Diceros bicornis minor: one gene and its partner. The protein of the gene in region 1 purifies or fractionates together with the protein of each later gene. This does not show direct contact. Links are inferred from orthologs where the notes say so. Each region holds a gene or a part of one and is shown in the gene's direction. Other genes may lie near its edges.

What was found.
Region 2: the proteins of KAT7 (region 1) and BRPF3 purify together in Homo sapiens (affinity purification with mass spectrometry; 3 studies listed by BioGRID and IntAct, counting the BioPlex papers as one, with this or other methods). This does not show direct contact. The link is inferred for Diceros bicornis minor from reciprocal best matches to the Homo sapiens genes KAT7 and BRPF3.

The regions. Positions count from the first base shown.
Region 1 is NC_080757.1:36,433,872-36,443,864, reverse strand, and holds the start of KAT7 (histone acetyltransferase KAT7), read left to right. Parts: upstream 1-5,323; 5' UTR 5,324-5,493; coding exon 5,494-5,508; intron 5,509-8,034; coding exon 8,035-8,182; intron 8,183-9,993. UniProt on the Homo sapiens protein: Catalytic subunit of histone acetyltransferase HBO1 complexes, which specifically mediate acetylation of histone H3 at 'Lys-14' (H3K14ac), thereby regulating various processes, such as gene transcription, protein ubiquitination, immune regulation, stem cell pluripotent and self-renewal maintenance and embryonic development.
Region 2 is NC_080753.1:28,656,100-28,666,610, reverse strand, and holds the start of BRPF3 (bromodomain and PHD finger-containing protein 3), read left to right. Parts: upstream 1-5,365; 5' UTR 5,366-5,535; intron 5,536-6,286; exon of another isoform or gene 6,287-6,460; intron 6,461-8,526; 5' UTR 8,527-8,552; coding exon 8,553-10,006; intron 10,007-10,511. UniProt on the Homo sapiens protein: Scaffold subunit of various histone acetyltransferase (HAT) complexes, such as the MOZ/MORF and HBO1 complexes, which have a histone H3 acetyltransferase activity.

The DNA.
Region 1 (9,993 bases):
AATTTGGTTTTGCTGGAATAAAAAAATGAAAGCCCATCCATAATGGCAATTCCCTGGTCTTCTTGATAAGTGAATTTGGGCATGGAGAACCCAGGGAGACAGTCTGTTAAAGCAAACCCGATTACCACCCAGGAACATATGTTGCCCTGAGGCCTTTGCTGCCATAACAACATCGTGTAACTATAACTACAGCCCTGGAGGGCTTAGGCCCTGTCAAATATGGAAAAGGATGTCTTCATCATACGATGGCTTTGTGCTCAGATTGACTTCCCTAGGGAGCTTGGATCAGCGAGGGGAGGTAGATAAGGGGAGGAAGGGAGGAGATGAAGGGCAGGAGTGGGAGAAGAACTGCTATTAAATCAAGATCAGAGTAATTTTTTTTAGCAATTTTCAAAATGTGGTTATTTGTTTAGTTTTTGTGGTTATTTATAACCCCAGCTGCAGAGGCAGGGAGCTGTGCCTGAGCCTGCTGGGATCTGTCCAATACCTTCCCCCAATACCCTTCCTGCTGGGGGTGGGTGGTGGATAAGGGTGATACAAGAACCAAATTAACAAGTGGCTAAGGGCCGGCCCCGCGGCTTAGTGGTTAAGTGTGCGCGCTCCGCTGCTGGCGGCCCGGGTTCGGATCCCAGGCGTGCACCGACGCACCGCCTCTCCAGTCATGCTGAGGCTGCGTCCCAGATACAGCAACTAGAAGGATGTGCAGCTATGACATACAACTATCTACTGGGGCTTTGGGGGGAAAGTATATAAATAAATAAGATTTAAAAAAAAAAAAGTGGCTAAGAAGGTAAGAGAAGATCCAGGCTATCTCAGGCAAGAGTAAGAAAGGAGGGACCATTAGTGACTGTGCTGACTCTATATTTAAGGCGGATGTAAATGAAAAGATTTTAATACGAATTATGGTCTTATCAGCAACCTCTGAGATTCTCCCACAGGGATAGAGACTAGGCCTAAGCTTTTACCCGGAAGTTATGAGATTGGCCTGGCTACACTAGCATTGTTTTAAAAAGGTCAAGGCACACTTCCCCACCTTACAGGACAGGTATCTGGACACAGAGGAAACTGCTGTCCCTAATCCCTCCTAGGGACATCACTGGTCAAAAAGAGGCTTAGAGGAGAGAGGATGGCAGGTTCTGTGCACGTCTTTCCTAACTGAGCCAACACCTGGCGGTGGCCATCCCATTTACTGAGCCCCCCCCCCTTTTTTTTGAGGAAGCTTAGCCCTGAGCTAACATCTGTTGCAAATCTTCCCCTCTCTCTCTCTTTTTAAATCCCCCAACGCCCCAGTACATAGTTGTATATCCTAGTTGTAGGTCCTGCTAGTTCTTCTATGTGGGATGCCGCCTCAGCAAGGCTTGATGAGCGGTGAGTAGGTCCGCGCCCAGGATCCAAACTGGTGAACTCCGGGCCGCCAAAGTGGAACACGCGAACTAACTGCTGAGCCACCAGGCTGCCCCGCTACTGAGCCCTTTTAGATGCTAGGCAGCAAGGGAGAAGCTGGAGATGGTGTGGTCAGCCAGGCAAGGCTCCCAACCTCTAGGAGCTCTCAGGTCTTTGAAGCAAACAACAAAAAACTACACTTTGTATTTGAATATCTATCATTTTGCTGGCAAGGGGAGCATTTTAAAGGAAATGGAGGCATCTTTTAGTGAGCTTACAAATGTAACTGAGAAGACAAGATACAAATACAAGAAAGAAAATGCACAAGGACACACACAAAAGATTGCTCCCACTACCCCTCCCCTGTTCAGTTCCTCCTCAGCTCTGGGTGAGGTTATTACTGCAGTGTTCTAACCCATCTCCCTGCCACTCTGATCAGTCCCCCTCACAGCTTCCAGAAAGAAATCTCTAAAGTGCAAGTCCGATCATGGGACTCCTCTGCTTAAAGTCCCTCAGAGATTCCTCATCACCTCCAGCCCAGGCTCCTTAGCAGGGTATTCAAGTCTCAGCATGAACTGGTTCCCTAAACCATTCCTGTCTCTTCTTTTGGCAACCACCCGAACTCCACCATGCCATTAGTCACCCCCCATACACGATGCCGCTCCACATCTGTATGTGCTGTTCCCTTTGCGTGGAAAGCCCCTATCCTCCTTGTCCACCAGCAAACTTATTTGTCCTATGAAATTCCACTCTTATTTCACCTCTTCTATGAATCCTTCCCTAAACCTTCCAGACAAAACACTCCACTTCCTCCTCTGTATCACTTCTGAACCTTGCTCTTCCTTCTGTTTTCCCATTAATACTTTACAGCGTTTTACAACAACAAGCTTACTGGCCTGGGGAAACACGATGTTTTGTGCATACTAGTGTCACTCGATGCCTGGTATATAAGGCCTGGCTAATCACTCTGTGTCTCTTGAGCTGAAGTGAGGTTGAACACACAAAAGCAAACCACCATTGAGACTATGTAAAGATATATTCACAAACATTAAGATGTTATAGCCATGGCCAGGGGGATTGAAATTATAAATATCAATAACAACGGCCATTTACTGAACATTTACTCTGTCAGGAACTGTGCTAAGCGCTTTACAATGATCATCGCCTTTAATCCTGACAACAACACTGTGAGGGGGCTATTAGTGTCTCCACTTCACATATGAGAAAACTGAGGCCCAGATAAATTGAAAAACACATCCAAGAGCAATGCAGATAAAAAGTGGCAGAGCTGAAATTCAAATCGAGATCTGACATCAAAGCCCTGTACTTGACACTATTAGAGCTGATGAGTGAAATAAATAAGAGTTACGTTCCTATTATTCATTTGGGAAGGAGAGAGGGGAGCAGAACATCTACCAAATTATACAAGGAAAAGTATAAATACGGCAGGAAGTACAAAATAACATATCATTATGCCCTACTACCTTAGAAAGAATAAATCAGGAAAGATTTTCTGAAGAAAGTAAATTTTAACGAAGGTTGGGAGATGCACCCAGGCAGGAAGAAAAGCCTGTGTGAAAGCGTCAAGGCGGGAAGAACAGCGGAGCTACCTATGTGAAGTCTGGCGGGTGAGGATGGGCAGGGGGGCAACTGGTCAAAGGCTTTGACACCAACATCAATTTCTGCTTCCAGAGCTAATTGTGTTACGATGAATATGACACCCAAAGTAAAGGTTATGTTTGGTTCAAAAAAGAGAAAGGAATGGGGCCGGCCCGGTGGCATAGCAGTTAAATTCATGTGTTGTGCTTCAGCGGCCTGGGGTTTGCGGGTTCTGATCCCAGGCACAGACCTACTCACCGCTCAACTAAACCATGCTGAGGCAGCATCCCACATAGAAAAACTAGAAGGACCTACAACTACGTAGTGGGGCTTTGGGGAGAAAAAAAAAGGAGGAAGACTGGCAACAGATGTTAGCTCAGGGCCAATCTTGCTCAAAAAAAAGAAGAAAGAAAAAAGCTTTTAGGATTCCTCCTTCCCCATTCTAAATATACCTAGCTGTTTTACTTTCATCTTAAGTACACATTTTCCTTATGATCATATTTCTTTCCTATTGGTGTTAGTTTTTTCATCTTTCCGCCAGAGTGTACACTTTCCAAGGATAAGAACCACGTCTAAAAGAAACTGTAAACTCTTTTAGTGTTAGCTGCAGTGTTTGAAAATCCAATGTAAGAGATTAACCAATGTTGAACATTTGTAATGCTGGTATGTGTATGATGAATGGTTAAGTCAGGATAAGATCTTATTCTAAAATACTAATTTCCAGGGAGGGATACTTCACCATCTTTGAGTACTATACATTCAGAGACTGTGAACCCGTAAACATATTCTGATTAACAAGCAAGCATTTACTGTGGTTAGGGCATGGTCTGAGCACTATTAAGGATGGTATGAAAGAACTCATGTATGCTCTTAACACAAGAGCTCCTTCCCACTAGTCAGGGGGCCAGAACATCCAAGAGTGACCTCAGGAATACACCAGTAAGTGCAAAATAACAGTAATAGTGTGAAATTAAATGCTTAAGTGCTGAACGAATACAAAAGAAGAAATGTGAGCCCTTGTCAAATAAGTTCTTATGTGCAGTTCTACCTGAGTAGGTTATTCGAAGCTATTTATACTAAACACTAAAAGCTAAATACTAAATACTAAAAGCTGCTTGTGTTAACACCGGCCCAGAATATCCCCAAGGAGAGTGCTGGCGATGAGTCTGGAACTTTAACTCTTCAGAGTCCTCTGTTTAGCATATCAATCAGATGTTTACCTTCTGCTGCTTTGTTCTTTAGTTCTGCTCCAGGGGGAAATCTCCATCTTAGCGGGCCTCAGGTGAATCTGGGGTCCAGGATCCTAACTTAATGACTGGATCCTAACTTAATGACTGAGCTTGCCTGGATTCCACCCAGTCACTTTTGGCCAAGCTTTGGTCCTCTCAAGGCTTTTCCTGCAGCGAGACAAAATCCTCAACGCCTGCTCTCCACTTCCCAGCTTTTGCTTATGGCTCTTCTTCCAGTCTTGTTTCCTTGACCAACTTCTCCTTCCTAGGTCCTCTCAAAGCAGGCCCTATCCATGCCTGTTTTTTTTTTTTTTTTTTTTTTTTAGCTCCAGCTTCACTAAAAATACTCCTTCCTCTTCTTCCCTCCCCCAACTCCTAGTTCAAGCATCTGGATTTCCCGAGGTCACTTGGGCTAAACGGAGTTCAATGCTTCTCTAACTCTGGTACAACACCCACCCCCACCCCCGCGGGCCACCCAGGGCTCTCAAACCCATACCGCTTCTGGAGAAGGATCTTGCCTCCTCCTGCAACGTGAAAGACTAACTTACTCGCTGTTCGCTAATGGCAAGGACAATGTCTCCTCTACCAGGCAAGAAACTTCCTGATGATGGACGCTACCCCTTCGTTCCTTTTACGAGCCCCCATTCCCACCACTTTGAGACACAGGCCAGCTCTTAAAATACAGTTTCTTGAGCAAAGTATCCCTTCCCAAGTTTGAGTTTATATGCTAAACGGAGACGTCCTTTAGCCAATTAGGCAACGAATGGGTTAAATCTCAGCAACCTGATGGATTCTGGGGGTTTCCTTTCTCGACTTCAGAATTAAAACGACCGGGAAGGGGACTTTTGCCCAAGATAAAGATGAGAACCGTTAGCTTCAACTATCAGGCTTCTGCCCCAAACAAGAACGGCTACCCACGCCCACAAAGAGAGCCATTCCCCTAACTAAAAATGGCTGGCCCGGGTTTCTTCTATCGGTGCCACTTTTTGCCCCATTCCAAAATGGCGCTCACTGGCCTCAATGGAAGGAACTAAACCTCCCAGCACCCTCTCTAGCCAGTAACGTCAGGTGACGCGAGCCCCAACCGGAAGTGAAGGAAAAAGCGCCTCAGCCCGCGGCGCCTGCGCGGAAGGGTTTAGACGCTGTGAAGCAGGAGGCACTTGGGATCGTCCGCAGGATTGGGACTGCTACAGAGGCCGCCACGGAGCCCGCCGGAGCCACCGTTCCTACTGCTGCTGCCGCCGCTGCCCGAATCGGAACCGTCGGGCCGCAGCCGCCGGCAATGCCGCGAAGGAAGGTGAGAGGAACAGGACGGGAGGGATGGCGGGTTTCTAAGGACGGTCGATTGAGCAACGTGACGCAGTTAGCCACGCCTCACACTGGCTGGGCTCCAACTTCCCGCTCCCCGGAACCTAGCTCAGCAACCCTCTTTTCTGTCGGTACCCAACGGAAAAATGTGGGCCCGACCCTGGCCTCGGCCTATGCCTGCAACTATTCCCGCCCTCTGCTTGCCTGGCTCGGAGGCGTTCTTCTTGTTAATTGGTCGCTGCAACGTGTGGAAGAACATTGATTGGCTGATGACACCGCCCATTTGGGCCCAACGGTCACCTCCCCGCGTGCGGGGGCAGTGTCTGGCCCGGCCCTACCGCGCTCGGATTGGCTGTGGAGAACGATCCCTCCTCTCTTAATTGGCTGCCCTTGGCAATCTGTCCCGTGGGGGCGCGGTTTAGCGGGACCCCGATTGGTGGCGCGAATCCCGGCCCTTCCGGCTGGTGAAGCTAATCGGTGGAGAGGCGGGGTTTCGGAGCATCCTTCCTTTCCGGGCGGGGGGTACAACAAAGCGGAGGAGTGGGTGGTAGAGAACCAGCGCCCACTCCCAGGGGATCCCACTCTGGCCTGTTGCCTTTAAGCCATAATTTTTCCTTATTTGCCTAGTTGGACAGCGCCTAGAAAATGCAGTTCGTAAAATCAGAAACTTTCTAGAATTAGATGAGACTTACGAGATCACCTAGGGACACCCCCATCCCTTCTCTTTGCAGCTGAACAGAGGCCTAATGGATTACCTCAAGCCGCTCAATTAGGCAATGGCAGAGCCAGGACTACAGAACAAATCTAATTCAGTTCGACGAATGTTTATTGACTACTTGCTACGTGCTGGTTGCTGGGGATTCAAAAATTAATTCGATTTGATCCCTGGCTTAAGGAAATCACAGTCTGATGGAGAAAACAGACATATAAATGGCTGTAGAAGGATCTAGTAAATTTTCTATTTGGAAGTATATATACAAAGCGTTATGGGAGGGAAGTGAGGGAGCAATTGTCTGCTCTGGAGTAAGATGGGAAGTAGATTGGTGAAAGCCTGAGAGAAGAGCTGAGTTCCAGAGTCAGGCCTGGAAGGGATGGTCAGAGATGATCAGGGATTCAAATGTCTGGGTAATTGGACTAGACCACCTTTAAGACGTCTCCTTCATCCTATCAACTATCTGTGACTTTTTCTGGGGCCTCCACTCATTTCTGGGCAGATTACTCTTGCCATTTGGAAAGCTGGGTGGTATTCTCGCTCATTTTTGCAGAAATCTTTCTCTTCCCAGAGGTTTTCAAAAAAAATATTTACACTTTTTAATGTTTCTTAAAATGACTGCATCAGTAGGTGGTATTTATATTAAGGCTTACCAAATGCAGGAATAGTATTGGTGCCTTGGAATAGGTCCATAGTCCCCTTTCTGCAATTCCCAAATACAAAGAGCTCTTGAAGATGTAAGTTTTTTTAGTAATTTATTTGGTGGCAAAACCTGTTCTAAACTGTCCTGAGGCTACTTATAATTTTTGTGTGTCTCATTTAGTGTGATTGCTTTTATATCTTGCTGCAGAAATGTTAATAAGCTTGAGTTAATAAGTTAAGTAAGGGGGTGTTATTTGAAGGCTATATGCAAAGTGTTCCCTTTGAAAAATCTAAAAAATTATGAATTCTAAACACAACTGGCCCTAAGTGTTTTTGGATAAAGAATAGGGGACTTGTAGTTTGAAGCTTTGTATTGTTTTTTTAGCAAATACTCTTCCTATTCTGGTTTAGTAAAGAGTATAGTGTTAATGCTCAATTGATAAAAGTTATCTTTATGGCTAAATATGTCTCAGGAGGCTAATAATTAACAAATAATTATTAATTAAAAAGATAATAAAAGAACCCTCTGTTTTTGAATACCTATGAGTCTTCATGTGTAAGCTGCCTTTTTTTTTTTTTAAAGCATTCATATGGAGAAACTTAAAGGTAGATAACATAAGAAAGAATTTTACTCTTTTTCTGCTTAAGTTCTTTTGTGATCAGAATTGTGGACCGTGATATTTTGAGTTAGTGTATGGTTTTTTAAAATGTGATAGCTGTTTATGGAGATTTTGAACAAAAGCTACCCTAAAGTTAAATGGAGTCTAGCATTAACATTTGTGTCACTACCTTGGACTTTCTCTAAGTGCATGGTTATGCCAGCCAGACTATTTTGAGTTAGATAATTTTATTTCCAGTTTGTGGTACTGACCTTCAAATGGACTTGTTTCAGAGTTAGTGATAATATAGTAAGAATTAATTCTCTTTCTTCTAGTGATAATATAGTAAGAATTAATTCTCTTTCTTCATTTATTCAATAAAGGGGCATTATTTGTAGGTTTCTCCATTTAAGTGCTCTCAATAAAGGGAAGTTGGCTGTGGAGTCCTTTCTTAGGTTTGAACTTGGTGTTTTCAGCATCATGGTTGGTTTTATTTCCAGTGTTAATACAAACCCACAGAGTAAATGCTTCTGTGCTAATGTCTGGATCTATGGTGTTACAGAGGAATGCAGGCAGTAGTTCAGATGGAACCGAAGATTCCGATTTTTCTACAGATCTTGAGCACACAGATAGTTCAGAGAGCGATGGCACATCCCGGCGATCTGCCCGAGTCACCCGCTCCTCAGCCCGGCTGAGCCAGAGTTCCCAAGGTAAAAGCCTTCCTTCTTTTTGACTGTGCCTCACATCAACTCCCTGGTCATCATATCACTGTGCTAGTCAATGTGGAAACTGGTCTGTTGCCTGGTTGTAGATGACAGAATCTGGTAAAATGCAGAGTGACTGCAGAAGTGTCAGGTCTTTCAAAATGGTTCTTTTGGGGGTGCTGTCCAATTTGTAGACCCAAAGGAACCAAGTCTGTGTGACACAATTATGTCTTGAGTCATTTAATTTTTTTTAGATTACGCTTTTCCTATCAGTAAAATGGGAATGTTATCTTTTCAGTTTCTGTTAGAATGGGTTAAGTTTAGAGACTTAAAATAGTCTCTTGAACTTGTTATTGGAGGAGGCCCAACACTTCTAAAACTATGTTTAATTCTGTAATGTAGTCAGATACACAATTAATAGATAGAAATAGTTTACCCAACTATCAGTTGTAAATACCCAGAATTTTGCTTTGGTAGTAAAGGATAGAGAGTCGCAGTGTTGGAAGTTTCTCTAGTACAATTGACCATCTGGACTTAGATTGGAGGGTACGCCTGTCCCCTCCTTGCTCTGCTCTGGGATTCCCTGGGGAGGAAAGAAGGTTGCAGTTAATACAGAAAGATGATAAACAATAGATGATAAGGGGTTAAGGGGGAAAAAATGTAATATACTTTGAGCACTTAAATAGTGCTGATTTGGTTACTGCTGTATGTGCATGTTGCAAAATCAGAGAAGAACATCAGTTTTTCAGGCAAGAATGTGGAAACATTCTCTCTCAACAATGTTCCTGACTTTATTTTTGAATTTAACATTTCAGGTGAAGTATACCTGTTGTCTCTTGATTTCTCAACTTCTAAGTTTTTATTTTTTTAGCACAATGGGAATATTAAATGGCTGCTATAATTCAGGTGCTATGTTATGTACTGGCATGCCATGATAGAAAAATCATAGCTCCTGCCCTCAAGGAGCTCACAGTTTAGTGTGAGATATAGATATATAAACTGATCATGGTAGTGCGTTGTGGTAAGGCCTCTGAGAGAGGTTTGCATAGAATACTATGGGGCAGCCAACTTAGGCCAGATGGAAGTCTGAAAGAAGTTAGTAGCAATTTATAAGTTGAAAGATGGGAAAGTGTTATTATAGGCAAAGGAAACAGTATATGCAAAGGAAGAGGCATAATGTTCTTACAACCTGAAAGTTGTAAATATTCAAAATAGCTAGGAAATACATGAGCTCTGGGTCTCTTTCTAGTTATTATACTTCATGACCACAGAGTTACACAACTCCTGGGGGCACCATTCCTAGTGTGTTCTATGTAAGGTGGCCCTCTCTAAAGCAAAATGTAGACTGCATTGTAAATGGAGCCCCCTAAAGGCATGCATACTGATAACTTAGCTGTGTGCTACCTTTTACGCACAAGTTTGAGAATTTTAGTTTTTTTTTTTGGATAATCTATAAGATTTACATATTAGGATTTTTCATTGTTTAAAATATGCTTTAATTTCCGCTTTGAGTTTCTTTTATTCCTTGTTTAAGCGTCATCAGATTGGAGATGTAAAAAGGCTGCTGAGTGCTTCAGAATAGGTTTTGCCATCCAAAAGAACTGTAAAAGGTGTATTCTTGCCTTACCCCTTATGAATCTATTATGATTTTGCTTCGGGGTGTCAGGGTAATCAGGAAGGAAAAACGATCTCTGAGGAAAGGAACTATTTTTATGTTGTTACACCTTTAGTATTAGAATATCTGTTTTATGGTGGATTAGAATAAGGGAAGAAAGAAAGGATGCAGTTAATATTTATAAAGCATATTTATAGATCTA
Region 2 (10,511 bases), on another chromosome or scaffold:
GAACCAGGAGCACCAATGTCCACGGGCAGGAGAAGATGATGGATGAACTCAAGCAGAGAGCAAATTCGACCTTTCCTTACCTTTTTGCCCTGTTCAGGCCCTCAAGGGATTTGATGATGCCCACCCACACTGGTTAAGGTGATCTTTACTCAGCCTATGGATTCAAACGCTAATCTCTTCCAGAAACACCCTCACAGATACACTCAGAAATAATGTTTTACCACCTATCTGGGCAACTCTTAGCCCAGCCAAGTTGACACAAAAAAATTAACCATCACACATATGAATCACTTACGGGGATCTTGTTAAAATGCAGGTTCTGGTTAAATAGATGCTATTATTTTTGTGTATTTTCTCTCTCTTTAGTAAAATTACACCAAGTAGATGGCTATTTGCAGGGTCGGCTCTTTTGCTAAAATATGGAAATAATTTATATTTTATGGTGTCCTGACGTCCCTCATGATTGCGTTTAAGATTTAATAGAAACGTTAATTAAAGGTTGAAATGAAAAGACATTAAATCAGGTTGAACAATTTACACTTGCCACAAACTATTTACTTTCAGGCTTGTGCTGTAGCATTCCACTGAGTATACAGTAAAATGTTCTAGCTAGAATTCAGTCCAAAGAGGATAACGCAAGACATACTAGATGGATGATTTAAACCATATTGGACCATACTCTCTTGCCTGACTATATCTTAAAGCATGGAACTATTCAAGTCATTTCCCTGTTCCAAAAATCACAGGGGACTACTGCCCTTTCACATCCAGTCCCCCACCTAACAGCCTCCATGCTCTGACTTTTACCTTTCCAGCCTTTTCTCTTGCATCTCCCATTTTTGGGTCAAATGTGGTAACCCACTGTTCCCCGAATCAATCTTACGGTGTTCCACCTTTCTCTGCTCATGCTAGTGCTCAGCCTGGACCACACTCCCTCTACCATCCTCCTAGTTGACGCTCAACCCAAGCTTTAAGGTGGAGCTCAAATGGCACCTTCTTCACGGAGCCTTCTCTCTTCTCTAAACTCTCACGCCATTTTGCTTGCATCTCTGTTGAGGTGCTTATCTGCTGTTGTATGTTTCAGTTATTAAATACTTGCTTTATTCCTGTGATTAGATTTTAAGTGCCTTCAAGTCTGAGAGCATAGCCTTTTCACCTATGTAGACTTCACAGGTGTAAAATAGAACCTTACCTGCAGCTCAGAAATAATTATTGAATGAATATGTATTTTAGTGTAAACAAAAGAGGCTCCATTTCCTCAATCCTCGGGTGTTCAGATGCACAGAAGCTCCTGAGTAACCCTTTGCCGTCTCTTAATTTGCAATAATTGTACTAGCATTCTAAAAACCTCCTAAATTTGAACTTACATTCATGTTTGATCTTCTCCTTTGTCCCTATGTCCAATCAGTCATCAAACTGTTGATATGTCTTCTGATTTTACCCCTTCTTTCCCTCCTCTTTCTCTACCATCTCTTCCATCATTCTGGTTAATGCCCTTTTATTTTCATAATGCCTAATTACCTATAGCGAATTCTTCCTGGTTTACCTAATACTGTTCCTGCTCTAGTTTATCCTATACATAATGGGGACCATAATAACAGTAATTTCACAGAGTTAATAAATGGATAAATGAGATGTGGCATACATATTGGACCTATTTTGTACATGTGCCCACTATATCTTTGGAGAATCACCTCTTGCCCACGTCCTCTGGTTCTAGTAGTAGACAATGACCAGACCTAATCAGAGTATCATGTCTTTCTGGCACAGCTATCAGCTCAGGTTGGCTGGAGATCACAAGAGACAGTGTCCTGATGACATAATTTGAGTCTCTTGACTTTACCTTGTCTAAAGCCAGATGCACCCCTGGACTTTCTGGGTTTTAGAGTCAATAGATTTCCTTTATTAATTAAACTAATTTGAGTTCATTTTCCAATGCAATGAAGATTTCTGATAAATACAGTATGTAAAGCACTAAGCAGAGTACCTTGCACTAAGGTACTATTTTATTGTCCTTATACCCGTGCCATACCTCATATCCAATTCAACTTTTTCTTTCTTAACATCTGCCCATACACACCAGCTAGGATAATTTCCTTATTATTCCCTGGCTGGGCTGCCCTGTGAACAACCTAATAATGTCATTCCAGTCTTTTCATCAATCCACATCCATCACTATTTAGAATCTGGCTAAAAGAAGCCTCCCATCCTCCATTTGAATAATGGTTGGCTCCACACTGTTAGCTGCCTTATCTAATTTCTCCTGCACATATTTTCTGGTTATTTCTAGCTTGCTTCTTGATTGTACACTACTCAAGGCAAGGAAAAATATATTTTATGTTTACATACGATCACTGGGTCCTTTCTAGGTCAAGGTTTAGTCATTATTTTCCAAAGCAACTTGTACAGTTTTGGACACAAAACCTATTGATTGGTGTTCAATAAGTGTCTGTTACAGGAATAAATGAATGGAATTAAATTTAGAGGGTGTGGAATTCAATTTAAAGCCTGCTGTTAGCCTAAACTTTTCCCTTTTTCTAAGCAAACTTTATATTCTTAAACCATTTTCATTACAGCATAAAAATATCACAGTGATTCCAACCTCCAACATTCTTCCCATTTATGGTTTCAGAATTCTTTTAGCTAAGGTCTAAGGAAGGAATATTCTATTAAAAATAATCTAACAATCAATCAAAGCCTATTTTCTTCTTATCATACATATTTTATTAATTCAGTGGGTATTGCATCTGACCCTTGAGTTTTCTTGCCTTAGTAAACTAATGATAGTAGTAAAGCATTAACAAAGATATCCTGAGATGTAAAAAAAAAAATTGGGGGGAAACTTTTTGTATTCATGTTTCCTCTTTTAGTTCTAAATGGTAAACATTCTCCTACTCCAAATAAGCTAGTTTCTACTTAGAAATGCAGGATTTAAAAAAACTACTATTTGGAATCAAAGGTCTGTGCCTCTGTTTGTTGAATTTAGTTGCTGTAGGGTTTAATGGAAAGGCCAAGGGCTGGTGAATCTAAATTCTTTAAAGTAGCTAAAAATTAAAGTGAATTAAAGTTAGTCCCTCTGGGATTTTTCATACATGTTCCAAATTCGTTTTTAATGACATAATTGTCCCATGTTACATTTAAGATTACATCATAGTGAACTGGTTATATGTGCAGTTACACTAAGAGAAACCAATTCCAAACGTCAAAAACAAAAGTGAGGACAACTATAATGTTACCATTAAGAGAGAGGAAATTGAAAATAGAAGAGAAACACTTAAGTTGAATAAGGTCTTACTATGAAAGCTTTGAATAGAAAAACCTGGAAATCATATGTATTAGGTTAACTTAATGCATTTTCAACAGCATTTAAATCATTATTTTATTCACTGTTACAAGTGGAAACCAATGCATTTTCTCAAGGTATTTATTCATAATTTTAGTGGAAAAAGATATCTCCCAATCACACAAATGGGAATTGTGCTTAATAAATTTTGAGAACATCCATCAAGAAATAAAAGTTACTTGTCATATGTATAAATGGTTAGATTTCACGTTTTAAAAGAACAAGAAATGAAATTCAGTATTCTTGTTTCTTTTAATCTTCAGTGGTTTTTGTTTTTTTTTTTTTTCCTTAACTAAAGTAATCGTAATATTCTCTTGCCTCTAGGGCTTTCTCTTCCACAATTAATCACTTTTTCTTCCACACTTTCCCTCCAAATGATTATTCCCCCTAGCCTTACAACACTTGACATTAATTCACACTATTTCATCTTCACAGCTTTCAAAACATTGCCTGCCCTTGCTTAGCTCCACAAGCCACTCCTTTTTCTTTTAAAAGTCGGTTACCAGAAGTAATTTTACTATCACTTTGGCAGAAGGTGCTACCATGTAATCAGAAAAAAAATCTTTGTAATACAAATTAGCTTCCTGACTTTTATCAACCTTTCAAATTCGAAACACAATATATTTAAATTCCTTAAGATATTGAACACCTATACTTCAAAAGTAGCAGTACTTTCAATTTAAACATTTGGAAGACTTGGACTCTAAGACTTTATCTTTCATCCTCTGACTCTAGAATCCGTGTCCTTGATCATCAGAACCGAGCAAGAAATTGTGAGTCTCACCAAGCTCCACCCCCAGCGCGGGCAGAGGAAACGCTTTCAAAATATGTCATTCATCTTCACATTTAAAGGCAGTCTATCCCTACATCCTTTATAAACATCACTAAATATTGGTGCTTAAGACTTCAGTCATATGAGGTAAGTTTCCCAATTTATAGGCAAAAGGGGGGTGGCAAGGGAGACCTCTTCTCTTCTTAAATTTATCAAAACAAAAGTGGTCTGATTACATCTCCAACTCTGAAGTTGCCATTTGTCAAGCATCTTTTAGAAAGCCGCTTATTGTATTAAATTAGCCGACTCCTAGCCAAATCAGGTTTAAGGAGTGTTTCCCACGTCTACAGTGACAAACGAGTTACCAGACGTCCTTAAATAGACTGTCAAACTTTTATGTTTACTCTCTTTAAACGAAGGGAGAGGATGGCACACAACGAAAAGTCAGGTCTGTTTCTTAAGAAGGATGTCTTGTAGGGAACCAGACGCTCACCTGTACAAAACAGAGGCAGGTCTTTCCGGGCTGTCCTCACTGGGGGAGGGGATGGACATTGCTAGACCTTTGTCCTCCGGACCTGAGCACCGGGTGAAGGGTGGGCGGCTTTCTGGGGGTAGTGCAGGCACCTGCACCCCAAGAAACTACAGACCGGTTTTGATTTCAACGACTGTCTTGGCTTAACCTTTGGAGGGGTCCTCTAGCTCGGGGAGGGGGTTTGCTGCCCCAGACCTTAGCCACCTCCTCCGCAGGGATAAGGGGAGTGGACGACCGACCACCCTAAAGAGTTAGGTACCCCCATCTTTCCCAACTAGACCCGAACGTCCCCAGCTCTCTTGCTGGGCTCGCCCCCGCGGCGGGCTGGGCCGGGGTGAGCCGGGGCCGCGGCGGGCAGACCCCGTCTCCGCTCGGCGCCCCTGCCGCGTCCGCACCGCCACCGTGAGGCCGAGCAGGGGACGGTGCCCCGTGGCGGCGGCGGCTCCGCGCTCCTCTCCGCGCCGCCCCGGCCGCCGGCGCGCCGGGCACAGGCGGGGGGATTTTTTTCCCGTTTCCCCCTCTTTCGCGCTCTCGCTCCTGTTCGGCGGGAGAGCCCGCGGAGCCAGGGAGGGAGCGAGGGAAGGGGTGGAGGTGGCGGGGGGAGGCCGGAGGGGCGGATCCTGCCTGGGGGCTGATCCCTCCCTCCCCTCGGCCGGGCTCCGTGGCGGCAGCGGCGGCGGCGGCGGCTCCATTCCCCCTCCTCCCCCGGGAGCGGCGGCGGCGGCCGGGCCGGGGCCCCAACGCGGGCCGGGAGGGGGCACGGCGGTGGCCGCGGAGCCCAGCGCGGGAGGAGGCCGCTCTCCGCTCCCCGGGCCGCGCGGACCTGCTCGACGGCCGGCCCGCCCGCGCCCAGGGGCCCCGAACGGTGGGGCCGGGCCGGCGGCTGAGGTAATGGGGGCGGCTGCGGGGCCGGCCAGAGCGGGGGCGGGGGCAGCGGGGCCTACGGGGACCAGGGACTGCGTTCGGGGGAGGGAAGCGGGGTCTTCCCGAGCGGGGTGGGGGTGGTGCGAAAGCTCTCTCCTGGCGCGAGGGCGGCGGCGGGGAAGGAGAAGGCGGGTGAGGGGGGGAGCTGAAAAGCGAGGACCCCCTCCCGCAGCCGCCATCTTGTTTTCCTGCCCCCGGCCCTGGAAGCGGAGCTGTCGAGCCCCGCCCCCGCCACGCTCTCTAATTGGTCAGGCCCGAGGAGAGTTACACCCTCTGAACGGTTTTTGGTCCCCCGGTTCCTCCTGACGGGCAGGTGAGGGGGCCAATGGGCGCTCGCCTCTCTGCCCCGCTCGGTCGCTGGCGCTAGCTTTCTCTGTGTGAGGGTCGGACGCAGCGTCAGTCTGTCTCTGGCGCGCTCGCCCCCTCCCCTGTGGGGAGGTGATGTTATTTCCCTCCTTTCTCCTCCGAAGGGTGAAGATTCTTCTGGAAGAGGTGCCCCTTTAAAGGGGCAGGAACCTGGGCTGAGGTCCTCCCTTGGCTCAAGAGTATCTCCTGTGGGGTGCAGGGGGCTACAGTCTAATTGCAGAAACTCCTCATTCTTCGGGGACGTGGGTGGGGTGGGGGAGTGGGGGCTCAGGGGGTGCCTAGGAGAACTCTGGGGGTCTTGGAGATATTTGGAGGTGTGTGTGTGTGGGAAGGGCTGTGTGGGATGAGAAACTCCCGCCAAAAATCTAGACTGGAAGCTCCTTGTGGGCGAAACTCACGTTATTTTCCTCAGCAGCAGCGCTTTCCCCTCTAGAGTTTGTGCCCAGTGTCCAGAGTCTTGGAGAGGTCTCAGTAGATACTTGCTGCTTGGTTGAGAGATACCCGAGCTGTGAGAAGGCAACAGGTAGGGAGGAAGAATATATGGTGGCTTTAACAAAAGAGGGGCCACACCCTCTCTCTCAACTATTTCAAGTTAGTGTGTTTTGAGGTCGCTTTTCACAGCTCTGCAAGGGTCTCCATGCCCTTGAGAGGGTGGGGGCAGTAAAGCAGGTCTGTTGGCTTGGGCTGCCCCGAGGGAGTTGGCATTTGTAAGGCATGTAGTGGCCAAGGGCCTCTGGATCCTGGACAGAATTGCTGTGATGATTCTGTTTCCTTTGGCTCCAAATGGGGTGTGTGCCTGCCTGGCACTGTTCCTCAGCCAAGTCTTTTGTTTGGTTGTATGTTTCAGTCACACTTTGGGATTGGAAGGCCTTTTAAATAAGGATGTTAATAATACCTTATTAACAAATAGCAACCCTTAAGAGGTAGCTTTTATTCATTTCATTTTATTGATGGAGTATGGAGGCACAAGAGAGATTAAGTGACTTTCTCCAGGTCACACAGGACCAAGATTAGAACCTAGATTGCCCCAGAGCCTCTTGTTGTACCAGACCATGGTATCTCTGTGGCGTTCTTACCTCACTGATGTGAGTTGAGCAAATCAGAAGATCTGGGTTGAATTGTAGTTTCATCACTTACTAGCTTTGGGTTGAGTGCCAGCTTTCTGAGCTTCTGTTTCTTCATCTGTAAAATGGAGATAATATCATTCTGCCTCCCAAGCTAGTTGTGAGAAATATTACAAGTAAAAGGGCTTTGTAGTTTGTAAAAGTGTGCTCAATTATCATCACTATCTTTGCTTCATAAGGATGGTAGATCCCACAACCAAGGTGACAAAATGTTTTTCTCCTTGAAATCCTCTCCCTGTTCATACCCTTCCTAGTCTCTGCCCGCACCTCAGGGCACCATATCCCTAAAGACCTTTCCTGGTAGTGATGGCCTTAGTAACTGCCTACCATAGCTCCTTATGAGCTTGTCCAAGTTCCCTCCATCCAGAGAATGATGTGGGAAACTTTAGGGCTTTTTCTGCTGCACAAGGGTAGACTGATGTAAGTATTTTGGGAGAGAGGGACTTTTGAGGTAACAATGCATTGAGATTTTACCTCAGGTATTGCCCCAGTCACCTTGGCCTTAGGTCCAATGAGGGTCCCAGATAGGCAGCTTACAACTTCAGTGCCACTTGGGGTCGCTCCCAGAGCTTCCGGGGCTTCTGCATAGAGGTATATTAGCCAGTGCATCCTGAATGCTGCCTTTTGCAGAGAAAACCCTGCATGCTGTAGTTTGAAGTCCATAGACCACATGTGATAGACATTTCAGTTGCCTTCACTCCTTTACCCTGGGGGCATGGTCAGGGAATAGGATTTCTAATCATGATAAGATGGGTTGGGAGAGGGCTCTAGACCTGTGAATTTTTGATCCTCTGATGGGGCCACTGTTCATGTACAGAGCTTGAAAGTGGGTGCTGTTCTTGTTTTCTTCTTTTCTGAAGCCTTAACCACCCCCTTCTTTTCCATCGTTAGCTGTCCCACAGCCTTACGTACATCATTAGAACATTAGATCTCTCCCAGTGTCACATTGTAATGATCTGTTTACTTTTCTGTCCCTTCAATCAGACAGAGCTCCTAGAGGGCAGGGATCATGCGTGTTTGATTTCTTTCATTCAGCTTTAGGAGCTAGGCACCATTCCAGGTGCTGGGCATACAGCAGTACACAAGACAGGCAAAATTCCTCCCATCATGGAGCTTACATTCTAGTGGAAGGAAACAAACATACATGATAAATAGGTAAATTACATAGCACAGTAAAAAATGGTGAGTATTATAGTGAAAAATAAAGCAGAATGAAAGATTGCTGGTGGGGGAAGGGATTTGCAATTTTAGATAGAATTGTCAGAGAAGGTCTCACTGAGAAGCAGTGTTTGTGGAAAGACTTGAAGGAGGTGAAGGAGCAAGCCTTGTGGATGTCTGAGGGGCTGGATGTTTAGACAGAGGGCATAGACAGTCCCCTCGGTGGCCACTCGATCAGATGGAAGGGTGAATGAATACGTGCATGCCTGAACATCCAGCTCATGGTCTCCTGGCTTTGTTTCCTCAGGCCTGTCCCCTAGGTTCCCAGGTGCCATGAGGAAGCCGCGCCGGAAGTCGTCGCGGCAGACTGCCGAGGGCCGGCGCTCCCCGTCACCTTATAGTCTGAAGTGCTCACCCACCCGGGAGACCCTAACATATGCCCAGGCCCAGCGGATTGTCGAGGTGGACATCGATGGACGCCTGCATCGGATCAGCATCTATGACCCGCTCAAGATCATCACAGAAGATGAGCTGACTGCCCAGGATATCACCGAATGCAATAGTAACAAGGAAAACAGTGAGCAGCCTCAGTTTCCTGGCAAGTCCAAAAAACCCTCATCCAAAGGCAAGAAGAAGGAGTCCTGTTCCAAGCATGCGTCCGGCACTTCCTTCCACCTCCCGCAGCCCAGCTTCCGCATGGTGGACTCAGGCAGCCAGCCAGAAGCACCCCCGCTACCTGCTGCCTACTACCGCTACATTGAGAAGCCACCTGAAGACCTGGATGCAGAGGTAGAGTATGACATGGATGAGGAAGACCTTGCCTGGCTGGACATGGTGAATGAGAGGCGGCGAGTAGATGGGCACAGTTCAGTGTCTGCAGACACCTTCGAGCTGCTGGTGGACCGGCTTGAGAAGGAGTCGTACTTGGAGAGTCGCAGCAGCGGGGCCCAACAGTCTCTCATTGACGAAGATGCCTTTTGCTGTGTGTGCCTGGATGATGAATGCCACAACAGCAATGTCATTCTCTTCTGTGACATCTGCAACCTGGCTGTACACCAGGAGTGCTATGGCGTCCCCTACATCCCCGAGGGTCAGTGGTTATGCCGCTGTTGCCTGCAGTCTCCCTCCCGGCCTGTGGATTGTGTCCTCTGCCCCAATAAGGGTGGCGCCTTCAAACAGACCAGCGATGGGCACTGGGCCCATGTAGTATGTGCCATCTGGATCCCTGAAGTCTGCTTTGCTAACACCGTGTTCCTGGAGCCCATCGAGGGCATTGATAATATCCCACCTGCCCGCTGGAAACTAACCTGCTGTATCTGCAAGCAGAAGGGGCTGGGTGCTGCCATCCAGTGCCATAAGGTGAACTGCTACACAGCTTTCCATGTGACGTGTGCACAGCGGGCTGGGCTCTTCATGAAGATTGAGCCCATGCGTGAAACCAGCCTCAATGGCACCATCTTCACAGTGCGCAAGACCGCCTACTGTGAGGTCCACTCACCGCCAAGTGCTGCCACTGCTAGAAGGAAGGGCGACTCCCCTGGAAGCCTCGGTGAGGCTGGGGATGAGGAAGGGCTGAAGGAGGGCTGTGAGGAGGAGGAAGAGAAGGAAGAGGTGGAAGAGGAGGAGGAAGATGAAGGCCAAGGTGGGGTAGGTGGCCAACTCAAGGGAGTGCCCAAGAAGAACAAGATAACTTTGAAGCAGAAGATCAAGAAGGAGCCAGAGGAAGTGGGCCGAGAGACGCCCTCAAATGTCCCCATGGTCGCTGTCCCACAGATACCTTCTTACAGGTGAGCCTGCCCAGGAGCGCTCCCCAGGGACTCGTGGTTCCTTCTTGGGCTGGCGTTGGCCCTGAGCCAGGCCTCCTTCCCCAAGCATGGTTGGTGAATGTCTGTTCTTTTCTGTGCCCTCAAATTTAGACTTCTCCTTTGGACCCTGGGCTTGCCTGGCCTGGTTTGTGGTTTTGATTGTGTCCTCAGAGCAGTGTATTTCCTTTGGTTCAAGGTGAGACAAATAATTAAGTTACTTAGAAATCCAGGTGATGGGATGTCTAAGGGAGTATTTTTCAACAGGGGCACAGGTGGCATTTTGGACAGGATGATTCTTCATTATTAGGCCTGTCCCCTACATTTCTCAATGTTTAGCATCCCTAGTCTTTGTAAGTGCTGTTCCCATCCCCTCCCTCATTGCCTGGTCTTTGTGACAACCTCAAACATTCCCCACGTGTTTCCAAAAACTGCTATGGGGATAGAACTACTTCCAATTGAGAACCACTGTTTCAAGGGGTCAGTGTGG